2 linked regions of the Pelodiscus sinensis genome follow. The protein of the gene in region 2 binds, or shares a complex with, the protein of the main gene of each other region. Links are inferred from orthologs where the notes say so. Each region holds a gene or a part of one and is shown on either strand. Other genes may lie near its edges.

Region 1 (7,459 bases), on a different chromosome or scaffold from region 2:
CATTCTTTTGTCTTCAGTGACAAGAACAAGAAAGACAAGGTAGGTGAGGTAATATCTTTAATTGAATGAACTTCTGTTTGTGAAGGATAGAAGCTTTTGAGCTTCACAGATCTCTTCTACAAGCAGAAAAACAAGTGATTACTCTAGAACAGATCTGTCTCCAACCCAAAAGTTTAGTTAGCATTCTGCCTGTTTTCACCACAGGGTTTAGGGCTATTAACTACTGGAATTTAGGACAAACATGGTAGTATGATTTGACAACACTCACTTTTGCAAAATTATGTAAGGTCCTAACAAGAGAATTCCAGAATCACTAGAATGATGCAGGAAGCAAGAAGTTTTAGTCCCAGACAATTTTATAGCTATAAGCATCCTGATGTCACGAAGAGGAACAACCAGACACATTAAAATGCCATGCAAAGGGAAAAATTGATCTTATGTGCTTTTTACTTATTTAAAACATGTTAATGAAATCCAAAAGATTATTTTTATTTTTGCTTCATCCCCATTCCTCCTTCATATTATAAGATCAGGCCTTATCTAACCTTGGAGACGCTACAACAGCCCCCCCTTCCTCCCTCCCCCCCCAAAAAAAATTAGTGGAACAGCAGACAAGAGGCAACAGAGTGAAAGCTGAGCAACTGAGAGAGAAAGTGATTTTTAGTCAGGATGCTTAGGACTGGATACTTGTGTTGCCTTTATTAAGTACTATTTAATGCCAAACATCTAGTCAACATTTCAGAAAAAGAGTCTCTACTCAAAGCAACTGTAGCCAGACAGGAACCCTCCCTGTAACATCCATTTTTGCTTGTCTGGAGCATACAGGGCACACAGAGCAGAAGGCCCAGGCTGTGTGACCGTGAATGGCTGTAAACAAAGATACGCCAATTGCTGACCAAGAGGCTGCCAAGGAGTGCCCTTGACTTAACCCATATTGATACGAACACACAGCCGTCCGCGGGGGGGGGGGGGGGGGGGGAAGGAATCTCTCGCCCAGTAAAAAAAATGTCTAGTACTCACAATTTAGTTATCTCTCTTGCAAGTGTAAATTAACTTGAAACTTGCTTGTAAGAACTGGCGCCACAATACGGACCAGTACAATTTGGCCTCTTAGATAAGAAAGAGGATATGGGCCCCCAGGGATATAAAGATGGGTCCAGCAGCACATTTACTCTGAGTGTCAATCTACCATCTATCTGCTGGTCGGGTTAGGTGTTTGATCTCCCAAGGTTCTACAGGAACGCCCACCTCGTATTCGTCTTTCCTAGGAATTGAGAGACCGGCCCTGGCCTGACATGCTTAAGTGGAGAGGCACAGAAGGGGGTAAAAATTGTACCTGGATGTGGTCCTTTGTCGTAAATGTACACATAGATTTAGAGCTCTTTAAAGATTAAGCTGTCACTTAGTACCATTATTTCTATTTTCTATCTTTATTTTCTTTGTAACTATTTTTAAAATCTGTATTTGCTAACAGTTAAGAAAGAGAGCAATAGCCATTGTAACCATATGGTTTTATAAGTCTTTTTAATAAACCTGTAACTGTTTAAGTTTTTAACCTGACTCCTTCAGTTGCTGTAACAAAACCAAGCACAATTTAAAAGAACTTCAGCCAGTCATAAGGAACAGGTATAGGAAGAGCTTGGGCGTTTGGATTTGTGTCACTCCCAGGTGACAGGTCCGTTGGGGCACCTCTCAGTCTTTTCCTAAGGCTGCCCGCTGCGAAGGAATCTTGCATTCTAGCAGCTAAAATCTAAGGTGTAATAAGCTCTTTCTATAAAGGGGCATCTGTTGGCCTGCTGGCTACCCTCTGCGACGGGACCCCGGTCCTAGCAGTAAAGACACGGACATTAAACCTTTTCTCGAAAACACACACACACATACTGCCCTGACTGTCGGCTGACAGCAACTGAACATGCCTTTGTTAAAAGGTTGAGTGTAGAACAACCCGGATTTCTTTCTAGAACCATTTTACCTATCACCAAGGGCCAAAACAAGGGCACAAGCCATGTCTCCCTTTGTATTCCCCCAAACCCAGAATCCTCCCCCCCCCCCCCGTAGCTTCCTGAGCGTAGACCCCCCCAACATAAGAATGATTATACAGGGTCAGACAGATTGCCCATCTATCTCCCTTTCCTCCATCCCGACAGCAGCCAGTACCAGGTGCTTCAGAGGGAATTAACAAACAAACAGTGATCCATTTCCTGTCCTCCAATTCCAGCTTCTGGCAGTCAGAGATTTAGGGATACCCTGTGAATGGAACTGCATCCTTCTTGATAACAGCCACTGATATATCTGTTATCCATGAATTTATCGAATTCTTTTTTAACCCACTTATATTTTTGGTTTTCACAAGATCCTTAGAAAGGAATTCCACAGGTTGACTGTGCATAGTTTGAAGAAACACTTTCTTATGCTGGTTTTAAACTTGCTGCTTATTAAATCATCAGGTGACCCCTAGTTGTGTTACCCAAAGGCATAAATAAAACTTTCTTATCAAGTTTCTCCACCTCGTTCATAATTTTATATCTCCCCTTGGCTGTGTTTTTTCTAAACTGAACAGTCTCAGGTTTTTTTGTCTCTCTCCTCAGAATCTGTTCCATTGTCTTAATCATTTTTTACTCTCCTCTGTATTTTTTGCAAATTGAATATATCTTTGAGTTGGGGCAAACAGAACTGCACATAATGTTCAAGGGATGGGTGCACCATGGATTTATAAAGGGATACTGTTATATTTTGTGTTTTTTTAACTAACCTTTCCCTAATGGTTTATAACATTGTTAGTTTTTTTTTTTTTACTCTATCTACACATTGGGCAGATGTTTTCAGAAAGCTATCCATGATGACTACAAGATCTTTTTCTTGAAAAGTGAAAGCTAATTTAGACCTTAATATTTTTTATATATACAGGTAGTTTGGATTATGTTTTCCAATGTGAATAATATTGTATTTATTAACATTTAATTTCATCTGCCATTTTTGTTGCACAGTCACCCAGTTTTATGAAATGTCTTTGAGACTCTTTGATGCCTTTGAGACCCTTCACAGTCATCTTTGGACTAAATTATCTTTTGTAATTTTTTTTAATCTGCAAATTTTGCCACATCATCTTTCACTTCCTTTTCCAGATCATTGCTGAATATGAGCAGTCATAGTAGAGATATTTGGTGTGGGAAGGGCTATTGCTCTCTTTCTTCTTATCCCTTGGCTAGAACATAAGAATGGCTATAAGAACTGGGTCAGACCAAAGGTCCATCTAGCCCAGTATCCTGCCTTCCAACAGAGGTCAATGACAGATGCCCAACAGGGAGTGAACAGAACAGAGAATCATCAAGCAATCCCTCTCCTATTACCCATTACCAGCCTCTGACAGAGGCTAGGGACATGATTCCTACCCATCCTGGGTAATAGCCATTGATGGACCTAACCTCCATGAGTTTATCTAGTTCTTTCTTGAACCATGTTAAAGTCCTGGTCTTCACAACTTCCTCTGACAAGCAGTTCCACAGGCCAACCATGTGCTGTGTGAAGAAAAAACAGTTCCTATCTTTTAACTAGTTACTGTTTTCAAAAGAGAATCTACCTCATATCCCATGACTGCTTACTTTGCTTAAGAGACTTTGGTAAGATACCTTGTCAAGGTTTTAATAAAAGTCCAAGTATGCTATATCCATTGGATCATCCTGCCATCTGATACTCTCAAAGAATGCTAAGTCATTGGTAAAGTATGATACCCTTTTCCAACAGCCATGTTTACTCTCTACATACCATGTGCTTCTGTGTGTTGAATAATTACTTTTTTGTTCTAACCAGTTTGCCTGAACTTGGGCCCCAGCCTGTAACTGATAAGACCCCGCAGGAGCCCCCTGCAAAAACTTCATTTAACATCTCCACAACAGCCTTGTCTTCCTTGAGTGCTTCTATGACACCTTGATCACCCAGCCAAAGGGCTCCGCTGGGCAGGTTTCCCACTGCTGCTGCAGCGTGTTTTAGTTTGCTGTTTGTTAGTTTTACTCTTCTCTAGTTGCTCTTCAAATTCATTTTGGGTCAGACTCGTTATAAGCTGCTGCCCCCCCCCCTCCCCACACACACACACGCTGCTGCTCCCCGCATTGGACACTTACCCTGCCCCACCTGCAGCCCAGCTTCCCTTCAAGCAGCCCAGAGCCCGCACCCTATGAAGCTCCCGTGCCCCCCCCCCCCCGCCGCTACCCCAGCACAGGGGCTCCCAGAGCGTCGCTCCCCACACGTGGATGGGCCAATACCCCCCCCCCATTACCTGCCCCGCTCCCAGGCCGCTGCCTCTCTCTCCCGTCTCCCGACAGCTGTCAACTACGCCCCCGTGTGTCGTCACCACGCAAGACGGGCCTGAGCCAATCGCCGTTTAGCGCGAGGCCGGAAGGGAGCCGCGGCGCCCGCGCGTGCGCACTCTCGCTTCGGTTCTCGCCTGGGGGCTCGCGCGGTTGCTGGGCTGGGAGCCGCTCGCTGCGTCGTGAGGGGGCGGCCGCGGGTAGGTGGGGGCGCGCGAAGGGAGGGTATCGGGCCTCACGCGCTGCCGCCCCCCCCCCGGCCTTGGCGCAGCCCCATCGGCTTCACCTGCTCCCCCCCCCCCCCGCGCAGCCGCCCTGTGCCTGCCCCGATAGACCCGCAGCCGGGGGCTAGTCTGCGGGGAGCAGCAGTGTGTGTGCGGGCGGGGGGGGGGTCTGTTGGTGCGCACGAGGGGTTCCCTGGTGCTCTCCGGTGCTGGGTGTCGGGTGCTGCATTACGCTGCAGTGATTGCCCGTTGCGATATAGACACTGTAATGAGTGAGACTGTATAGTTTAGATGTGTGTGAAACGTGCGCTACGTGTTACACTATGTGCTTGAAAAGCTAAAAGAAACCGCTTTGCGGGGGTCTATATACAACTCAAACTGCTAAAATAAACCCCTACATGAAGTGAGTCTCACACACCCTTAAAAACTAGAAGCCCTGCTTATCGTGAGACTCACTTGTCTATTTCTTTGTATAACTTATTTGCATAATTTCTGTAGTTCTTCACAAGATAGAAGATTGTATTACTAATTAGTATGTTTATTTCATTACTGAAGCAAAATGCAGGACAATGTAGCACTTTAAAGACTAACAAGATGGTTTATTAGATGATAATAAACCATCTTGTTAGTCTTTAAAGTGCTACATTGTCCTGCATTTTGCTTCAGCTACCCCAGACTAACACGGCTACATTTCTATCACTATTTCATTACTGTAATGCATGAAACAGTCTCCCCTCATCTGTTAAATGTGACACACTCTTCTATAAAAGTAAGATTATCATGTAGGCTAGGATTTATGATGTAAGCTTTTGTTTATATGTTCATGTAATTTTCACTAATCTTACAGTGATTTAAAAGTATACATGCCAAATTTGAATGGCCACTTTGGTCAACAAAAAATCAGTTATTTTTTTCTCTTTTCAGTTTCTCTCTGCCTACAAGCATAATTCAAAGCAAGATCTATTTTCTGCCACATTTGGGCTTTCTAAGTGTGTTGGAGAAGATGGTTAATGTCTTGAAGGGTGTTCTTATAGAATGGTTAGTACTTCTGTCTTCAGTTGAAATTCAGCTTTTCTTAATTGTATAGTTCCTCAAACATCCTAGCCACTTCACAGAACATGTAGAAGCTTTGCTTCCTTCAGTGTCTCTCCTGTGCCTCTTGCACTGAACAGAAGTCTTAGGCAAATTCTGCTTAGACCAGTATGCAACTGTTTGCAATTTATAATCTAGATAGCCCCAAAACAGCTGGCGTGCGAGCTGCCTGAGCAGCAGGGACTGTTGCACCCCAACAACACCATCCTGAAAGGAGGGGGGAGGGCACGGGGAGTCCCAGGAAAGTGAAGCTCTGTCCCCTCGGGAGGAGTTGTCAGCACAGCATTGTCATCCTTTTAAGCCTCATAATCTCTTCCAGCTTCCTCCTGAGTTCTGCACCCTTTGCCTCCTGCCCTGACTCCTGCTCCCTCACCTCCCTACCCTGAGCCCCCCCCATCTGACTCTGTGCCCTGAGTCCACCCCTCCTGCCTTCACTCTATCACCTTCTGCCCTGAGCTGCCCTCACAAACCTTCCATGCCCACACATCTTAACCCCTACCCTTTACCAAGAGTCCCCCATATCTCTGCCCTGACTCCAGCCCAGCAACCTTATACTCCAACCCTAATGCCCCACACCAAACCCTGTGCTCTCAGCCCCCCACCTCCTGCCTTCCCGGCGGGCTGGTTCTCCCTCATTTCCCCTCCTGATTTTCCCCAGCCAGCCCCCCTGCACCGCCCTCCAGCTCTGCTTCCTGCCAGCCCGTTCCTTTTCCTGATCTCCCCCGACCAGTGCCGCTGCACCCCCCCCCCCACCAGCTCTGCTTCCCGCCCCCCCACCAGCCTCGTGGTCCCCCAGCTTTGCTTCCCGCCAACCCACGATCAGGTGTCCGGTTTTTGGGGAGGGGTGTCTACTTGGTAACCCTACCGGAACCAGCAGCAGCATCCACGTGCTAGGGGGAGGGAGGGTTGGGTGAGGTGCTGGAGGGAAGGAGAGGGACTGGTTGCGTGCTGACTGGGGCAGGGGCGGACTGGTCAGGCGGGCTTTCTGCTGAAGGGCCGGCTGGCGGCGGCCCCAGTGCTGGCCAGGGCACTCTGTGGGGCCGAGGGAGAGCCTGTGTTTATACACCGTGGAACAGTTGAGAGGGGAGAAGCCCCGGCATCTTCCCTCTCAGCTGGTTTGAGCTTTTTAATTTTTGTAATAAACACCAAAATTCCAATGATATTTTTAATAAAATCAAAACTGAAAACAAAGGACCTTGGCTTTGTTTATATAGCTAAAATCAGACAAGAACTAGAATATGTAAACCAATGATATTAAACTGTAACTGTCCATAAACTCACATTATACATGTTTTACTAAAAACATACAATAATGTTAGTCTTTAAAGTGCTACATAGTCCTGTTCTTTGTTTCATAATACCAATGTAATCATTATTCTCTGCAAGTTAGGCTACCAATTTTCTTCCTCTTGGGCCCTTCTAGCTAGTCACAGTTTAATTTGTAAAATGTCCCAACAGGGTCACTTTTGCTTAAAGGCTTTCCTAAAAGTTATTCTTGTAAAAAGATGGATGTAGGCAACAAACAAATCTTGAGATTGAGGTTATACGGGAAGAAGTTTTTAAGTTCCATCATTCCAAAATTGTTTTACTTAATACTGTGTTGCTGTATTTTGTCGCTGCCAATAATATGGATTCTGGTGCATGTTTGTCTACAGTGACCCAGCCATGAAGCAGTTCCTACTATACCTGGATGAGTCAAATGCCCTGGGAAAGAAATTCATCATACAAGACCTAGATGAAACGCATGTTTTTGTGTTGGCTGAGTTGGTTAACTTCCTCCAGGAGAAAGTGGGCGAGTTAATGGATCAGAACTCTTTTCCTGTTACACAGAAGTAA
Region 2 (8,052 bases):
GGCAAAGGGAAATGAAGCGGCGATTTAAATAATCGCTACTTCGTTTACATAAAAATGGCTGCCGCACTGTGCCAATCAGCTGTTTGTCGGCACAGCGCAGTGGCCATTTTTATGTAAATGAAGCGGCGATTATTTAAATCGCCGCTTCATTTCCCTTTGCCGAGTAAACTCGTCTACCTGGCTCCGTCGATGAAGCCATGTAGTCTAGATACACCCTGAATGACTAAGGAAAGAAGCAGGAAAAGTCTACCTTCTGCTTCTAACTGGACAAAGGGCCACATATCGCCAGATTTTTAAAAGGGTGCCAGTCAAGACTACCTGGTCTACAATGTCAAAGGAACACTTACCAAAAAGAATTCTTTTGCATTTTACCAAGTGTAGGCTGTGATGGAGATACAATCTGAGTTTCCCACACCTGGTCAAATCAGGTACAAAAGGCGGCATACGCCGTGACTCTACATCTTTTATGGTAATTTACCCCATGTTAAGTCAATGTCAATTCAGAAATACACTCTCACTGCACAGGTGTAAATGTTCACACAATATGCAAGGCAGCAGCAAATCAGTTCCTACATGCCAGAGAGTACAATCTCACACACACACACTCTCCCCTCATCCCCCCCCAAGGGATTATGAAAAGAAAGCCTTCAGACACATGCCTTCAGTTTCTGAACTTTGCCAGCAGGAGGAGCAGGCATATATTAAGCCACCATCCTGCAGTACAAACTACAAAAGGAGAAGGTCACAGAAGACACAGCTTTTCAACATGGCTAGATGCAGAAATTCACTTGCCCTCAACACATTATAAACCACTTTAGGGAGTGTGCATGCAGGTCTCTTAATTGGCTGAATATTCTTTAATCCTCTCATTGGATAAGCAAAGGTGGCCTGGGCAACGAGCAGCAGACTGCAATATTCCACAGAAAGTGCTTTACAGGAAAGAGTAGAAAGGAACATCTGCCTTTTAAACAAACATGTAGGATATAATGGGTCATTGCTATAGTATTTTATACCTCAGCCCAGCTGTACTTTGCAGGTCCGCCTCCCTCCAAAGTCCTCAAGGTGTGTTTAACCCCAAGAGTGTTAGTGGCAAAGCAAACACCAGTAGCCTTTGAAAGCTATGCCAACAGCAAAGATAATCTAAATGTAACTAAGAAATGTAATGCATATGTCAGAGGGCAGGTTATACATATGTCTGCAGTTTCACAACAAAGCAGCACAATGGGCAGTCTGCTTTAGGATATACCCCACACACACATTTTTGGAGGGGGTTGGCATCACACTTCTTTACTCCTCAAAGAAGTAACTTAGCCAGTCAGAACCTCATGCAGAATCCCTGAACCTGTTGCTTCATATGGTTCACTACTAGTGACCCTGCCAGAGTGCTCCCGAACAATGAACTTAAGAGGCTCATCTACAATTGATATTGCATCCTACAACCTCCAATAACAGTCCAAAGCCACAAAGATCTGGGGAGTGCCACTTACTGATAGTAGTAGGAGACCTGGAGAATGGGAGAGCGTGAAAACTTCTTGGCGTGAGATGTAACCACACACTTCTAGGAGCATAAAGAACTCCAGTATTTGCAAAAGGAGATATTTATGTGGAAGACCCAATTCAATTTAGCACCAAAGAGTACGGTTTGGTATTAGAACCTATAAAACACTTAAGATTAGAGGTGCTGGAAATGGGGAATTCCACCCAATAAGGTAGCAAAAAATCACCCTAATAAAAATGTGCCAAGATTAATACCTTACTGACTCTGCTTCTTAAAACACAACACACAAATCTTTTAAACAGCCCGTTGTGGGTTGGCAGGCAAATACACTCAGGAAAACAAAGGACATGCAACGTTCTGCATAAAGTGTTCTCAAATGTAGCAGTCTATATGGTTCACAGAAAACAACAATACTTAAATTTCATAGGATCAAAGTCATTAGAGACATAAGAGATGTATTAGATCATTAAGCCCATCACACAGCCAGGGTAGGCTGTACACACAGGACACCTCTAATGTTAAAAGTAACACTATGGCAAGAGCACAGTGCTGTTTTCTTGATGAAGATGCACATGAGGAGTTCTTATTCACACAGCGCATAGTCAATCTGTGGGACTCCTTGCCTGAGGCGGTTGTGAAGGTTAGGACTATAACAAGGTTTAAAAGAGAACTAGATAAATTCATGGAGGTTAAGTCCATAAATGGCTATTAGCCAGTATGGATAAGGAATGGTGTCCCTAGCCTCTGTTTGTCAGAGGGTGGAGATGGATGGCAGGAGAGAGATTGTTTGATCATTACCTGTTCGATTCACTCCCTCTGGGACACCTGGCTTTGGCCACTGTTGGCAGACAGGGTACTAGGCTGGATGGACCTTTGATTTGACCCAGTATGGCCATTCTTATGTTATGATGCAGCAGCTGAGAATTAACTCAAAGTTGCTGTCAAATTCAGTTTTGTCTTCCTTAAAATTACCACAACTTATAGGCAAAGCCTGGACTTACCTGTAGTGTTGCCACTCTGCCACGAAAACCCAGTACCTCCCCTCTCACTCTCCCTCCCTACTTTCTGCCTGCAAATACACTTCACAGTTCTGCGAGAGAATTTCTGTAGAGCCCCAGTCCTAAAAAGGTATCAAATCACAATCTCTAAATTCACCACAGACACAAAATCAAAGGAGAAAAATATACAATAAACATGCAAACAGTTCTCATTGGCCTAAGAATCTATGGCTGGCAGCAGTTCGCATTGATGCCAAGTCAATTCATTCTGTTCCGTTATCTTATTGAAGATAATTATTGTTCCTGGGATTGCAAAATAATAGTCTGTTTGTTAGTGCTTAGAATTGTAAAACCACTTATAAACAATCCCAAAACCCATTTGTTATAATGGAAGTATTTGCTCTTCTACAGTTCAGATTCAGTCCAGAGTTTGTGTGTATTGGGTCAATAATCCATGTATTTAAAAAAGAGTCACGAAAGATGTATTAACATAAGCTGAGCATTAAGACAATTATTTATATGCTGGGCAGTAATGGGACCACACTATGCTTTGTATTAAATCTCAGATAACTTCAGAAAATTACCACTTCAAATAAAGAAAATTAGCATAATGTTAATGTTGTAACACAAGTGAGCAGTAAAAATGATCAATATTCATACTGATTCTCTATCCCACAACCTTCCTACCCAAAACAGAAGAATGTGCCCTCAAAGCAGGTAGCAACTATACCTGCTTGCATTCTCTAAGCACAACAAAAACACATTACCAAAAGCCTCTTAAGTTTTGGTGTACACAGCGTGATCGTTTTTCACCTTGTCTACCCAGCCCTGCAACTCCTTCTCAGTGGGGCATGACCCTTTCTTTCCCTGTCCTTTTCCCTAGATATTGCAGATGCTTCCTAACAGTGCATGATGGAGTTCTATTGCCTAGGCACAAGGAAATGGGCCAAGAATGGTGTGTGCCAGTGTTAAATTAGAACGTTCTTGCTTTGGCCACACATTGTCTTTTAAATTTATATTAACAACATGAGTCACATTAACATCTGTCCCTTATAGGGCCATTTTCAAGTTTAATTGGCTCTAATTTAGATTATGTAAAAGTGAACTCTCTTACTGAACTAAAATAATTATAACTCTCCCTATTTTGTTTCCCTTTTAATTAAAACGGTTGTTTTGAACCAGTAAATATCCCCCTCCAGGATTAAAAATTCACCACTAACAACATGGAAGTGAAAATGACAATAAACAAGAGTAAAACAATCCACACTGATTTGCTTCAGTCAAGCTGAGAGAAGGATAAACTGTACACAGTGACAAGTAACTTGGATTTTTTAAATAATTTCTAATTTAAAACTTTTACATATTATTAGTAACCACTAACCCCATTTGCTTGCTATCAACAATTGATGTCCGCTTTAAAATTGGCAGAATATATGCCTTTTTTATACAAATGCCTCCACAATTATTTGTAGGTGACCAAATTCAGAAACTTCACATTTAATACAAAAATTATTGAAATGTAAAGTAGCACATCAGACTTCCCTCTCTGCAACAGTAGGGTGCCCTGGGGCACACCTCCGGTTACCTTTGGGATGGTTACTTCCTCTTGAAAGATCTGTATTTGTACAGAATAAGGGTTTTGGGGGGCATCAAATATCAGCTCTATAAAATCTGGCTTGGATAGAGACTCCTTCCCTTAGGAAACGAAAGCACGGTATTAATAAAGTCTTAGGCAGCATTGTGAAACCAGGCTGGATTAATTTCCAAGGGCAGTTTTTGTGTGGCTGTCTGTGTTTTTTAAGTCTCTCCACGTTGCACTCTGTGGGGTTTGTTGTTTGGTTGGTTGCGGGGTTTTTGTTTTTAATTCTTAGCGTGTCATCACTGTTTGCAAGCCGCCTTGGGAGCATCTCTTCGCAAATCACTCCCGAGCCCTAGGGACAAAGGCATCCCACAGCGAGCGGTACCCAGAAACACCCCGCGTCTTGTCCTACCTCTCCCCGCCCTGAAACAGCAGAGGCTGGTGAATCCCCTGAAGGACCCAGGAGAAGCCCCTCTCCAGCTCTCCCTCGCCTCCCTGCTGCCCCACCACCAGGCGCACAACTTGGTGCCGAGCTGCAGCCACCAGTTGCACTTTCCACTCATGCACAAACCCAAGCACTAGCTGGGGAGGGGGACCTTACTTCTTCTCAGTCCCTTTACTAAAGCCCGAGCAACAAGTGTCCGCCCGCTGCGGAGAGCGCACGAGAAGCATAAGAAAGGAAGAGCGATACCTGACACTGCGCCGCTGCCGCAGCTGCCGCCAGCCTCTGGGCTCCGCTGCTCCAGCTACTGCGGAGGCTGCTGAACACTCCGAGAGCGCCAGCTGCCACTCAGCGCCGCAGCCGCGCACGCGAATCGCGAACGCTCCCCGAACGAGACTATCTTGGGCCAAGGGAGACGCCGTCGAGTTGGGACGTACCATCCCGAAGCCGGGGAGCTGAACGCGCTAGGCCGTAGGTCGGCCGCTATCATCTCCGGTGGCACTGTTGCGTCCTGGGTACGGAACACCCCCCCACCAAATAGGGAGGAGTGGTATCGCCGGCAGAAGGACAAGTCTGCTGCAGTTGGAGTGCACTTCCCGGACGCGGCGCGCGGCCTGCTGAGGTAACGGGACAGCGATAGACCCAACCACCAGCTCCGCGGGCTCCCTCCCCTGAGGGGCCCCACTACCCGGGGCCCTCAACCTGCTTGGGAACGACCCGCGCTCTGGCCTTAGAGACACCCCCGGGACTGGCGTCCCCCCGGTCTCTGGCTTCGCGCGCGCCACAACGGTCTTCCCGGGAGCCTCGAGTGTCCGGCTGCTGCGCGCGCGAGCTCCCGGCGCGTGGCGAGATGGCCCCTGGCCAGCGCAGCGTGGGTGCGTGTGAGCGCGCGGCTCCCGCGAGCCCAGGGCCCGTGAGGAAGCGGTGCGGAGTTCAGGGACCCGGGGGGGGGGTCTCGCTGAAAATCCTGAAACCCGGCGCCGCCTCTTGTGCCTGCTCTGACTGGAGATGCAACTGGCTAACAGCTGCCTGGCACGCTCCCTCCCCCCTCCTTTCCCCCGCCGCCGCGGGCTTGGCTTGGCCCGGCCCGGCCCGGCTGGGCTGGAGCAGTGGGTGGGGGCTGCTCGTGCCCTTCTTGGCAGGGGGAATCCGGGCTAATCGGTTAAATGTGACATCTGACCGGTTAGCTGATTTAAATGGGATTTTACATCCCTACTCTGAACAAACCAGCCAGGAGCAGCTGCCTCCCCTCCCCGCCTTGCCTGCAAAACGCTGCTTGGATATGGCACTTGATCCACTCAGCTACTGCCCCCTTGTTTCTCAACTTCTAATCCAGGTTGGACTGACAGGGCAGCCTGTAGCACATAGGTGCCTATGCTCTGCTTAAACAAGTCAAAGATCTTACCTAGGTGACCCAAGAGTCCTACCTACATGGGTCTCTTAGCAAGTTTACCATTCACTATTGGAGGGAAAGGCTCTAGCAATGGAGAGCTGCCCAAGCCTTTCACTGTGCTGTGTAGGTGCATACAAACGAGGAATGAGAGTGCACCCTGCCTTCCACCACCATAACTACTTAGGTCTGTAATGCCTGTTCTCTATTCACTCTAAGTGTGGGCAAAGCATCAGAGGATTTTGTTAAAATTGTTTGAACTGAAACTTGCCATAGCCTTTAACTATCGGTGTCTGAACTGAAAGACTAATGCATAGATGCTCTTATATGAGGTTAACAATCCAGGAGTGTGAATAAAATAAACAGGACTGTTTATACTTGGGTGCCTGAACTGACCCTTTCAGCTGTGTTGTACTCTTGAAATTCCCACCTCCCTTTTGCCCAGTGTGAAAAACTTACGTAATGATATTTTACAGATACATCAAATGCATTCCAAGATGTAAATGTAAGTGGTAACCATGTTATTTGGTTAATGTTTTGACAGTCACTGCAAGAAAATGATTATTCCCGTCAGATGCTTCACTTGTGGCAAAATAGTTGGAAATAAGTGGGAAGCATATCTTGGCCTTCTCCAAGCAGAATATACAGAAGGGTAAGTATTTCTTTATGGTCCTTGGCCCTGATCTTGCAAACAGTTACTGAGACTTGGTCTATGCTAGGGAAGTAGAGTGACATAAGGTGTCTTATGTTGACCTAACTGTCTTTGTCTACACTGCAGTGATGCTTCTGCTGCTGTAAATCACCCACTACATCAACTTAATAACTCCATGTTTGTGAGAGACATGGTGCTTAGGTAGCACCGTATCTGTGTAGACACTGGAGACCAAGCCCCAGTGCTAACAGCCTGAGCTGTCATGTCAGTCAGGCACCATTTTGATGCTACCCCACACTTCCTGCACATTCAGCTGGGCACCGGGCTCATACCTTGAGCCTCCTGCCCTGGTATTGACAGTCAGAGCTGGAGAGGGCATGAAATAACAGCAGCCATAAAACGGACAAGAATGTCCATTTCACTACTGGTAAGCTTTCTGCTATGAAATTGACCTCAAGCCCCAGGAATACAGGTGCCACTCAATTCTGCTGTCGGTGCCCCACTGGTAGGAAGAAGGTAGCATGATCAGTGATATCAGATTTAATTGCTGTGGTGGCTGTAGGTTGACCTAATTTTGTAGACAGGCCCTCAGTGCTTATGCATTGACTTTATTGGGGTAGCGCCTAAATTTATGTATAAGCGACAAGGAGTCCTGTGGCACCTTATCAACTAACAGATGTATTGGAGCATAAGCTTTCGCGGGCTAAGACCCACTTCCTCAGATGCATGCGGTAGAAATTTCCAGAGGCAGGTATAAATATGCAGGCCAGAATAAGACTAGAGATAACGAGGTTAATTCAGTCAAGGAGCGTGAGGCCCACTTCTAGCAGCTGATGTGGTGTTCACATCTCCACATCAACTGCTAGAAGTGGGCCTCACGCTCCTTGACTGAATTAACCTCGTTATCTCTAGTCTTATTCTGGCCTGCATATTTATACCTGCCTCTGGAAATTTCTACCGCATGCATCTGAGGAAGTGGGTCTTTGCCCACGAAAGCTTATGCTCCAATACATCTGTTAGTTGATAAGGTGCCACAGGACTCCTCGTCGCTTTTGCAGATCCAGATTAACATGGCTACCTCTCTGATACAGTTATGTATGTAACTATTCACAGGGTTTAGTTTGCTTTTCCCTGTCTCCTAAATATAGGACTTTTTACTAGCTCTACATCTTGTCTGTAAAGTGAACAAGGGCACCAAATGCTTGATTTTTTTTTGATTTTTTTTCATCTTTTTTTTTTTTTTTTTACCCCCCAGGGATACTGGGCACTCACATCTTATGAAAGTTAGTAAGTGTTCAACAATTTAGAAAAAACTACCCTGTCTGCCCTGAAGGGAGAGCTAACATGGAGACTTCACCATAAAGCCTACACCACATTCCTTCAACCACACAGATAGGGGGGAAAAAGCTGTTGCCATCCCACTCTGTTGCCTCTGATACAGAGGCAGCAGTACGGAGTGGTAGGGGGCTCACTGGCTGTCTCCCCCCTGGAGA

Evidence for each region.
Region 1: POLR2L (region 2) and GTF2H5 share a complex: the UniProt entries of both Homo sapiens proteins name them as parts of the TBP-based Pol II pre-initiation complex. The link is inferred for Pelodiscus sinensis from reciprocal best matches to the Homo sapiens genes POLR2L and GTF2H5.

Annotation. Positions count from the first base shown.
Region 1 is NC_134713.1:112,364,486-112,371,944, forward strand, and holds the start of GTF2H5 (general transcription factor IIH subunit 5), read left to right. Parts: upstream 1-4,375; 5' UTR 4,376-4,507; intron 4,508-5,455; 5' UTR 5,456-5,534; coding exon 5,535-5,569; intron 5,570-7,278; coding exon 7,279-7,459. UniProt on the Homo sapiens protein: Component of the general transcription and DNA repair factor IIH (TFIIH) core complex, which is involved in general and transcription-coupled nucleotide excision repair (NER) of damaged DNA and, when complexed to CAK, in RNA transcription by RNA polymerase II.
Region 2 is NC_134714.1:119,981,325-119,989,376, forward strand, and holds the start of POLR2L (DNA-directed RNA polymerases I, II, and III subunit RPABC5), read left to right. Parts: upstream 1-5,005; 5' UTR 5,006-5,139; intron 5,140-5,249; exon of another isoform or gene 5,250-5,392; intron 5,393-6,451; 5' UTR 6,452-6,464; coding exon 6,465-6,559; intron 6,560-8,052. Other genes in the region: TSPAN4 (tetraspanin-4), read right to left, coding at 4,767-4,957. UniProt on the Homo sapiens protein: DNA-dependent RNA polymerase catalyzes the transcription of DNA into RNA using the four ribonucleoside triphosphates as substrates.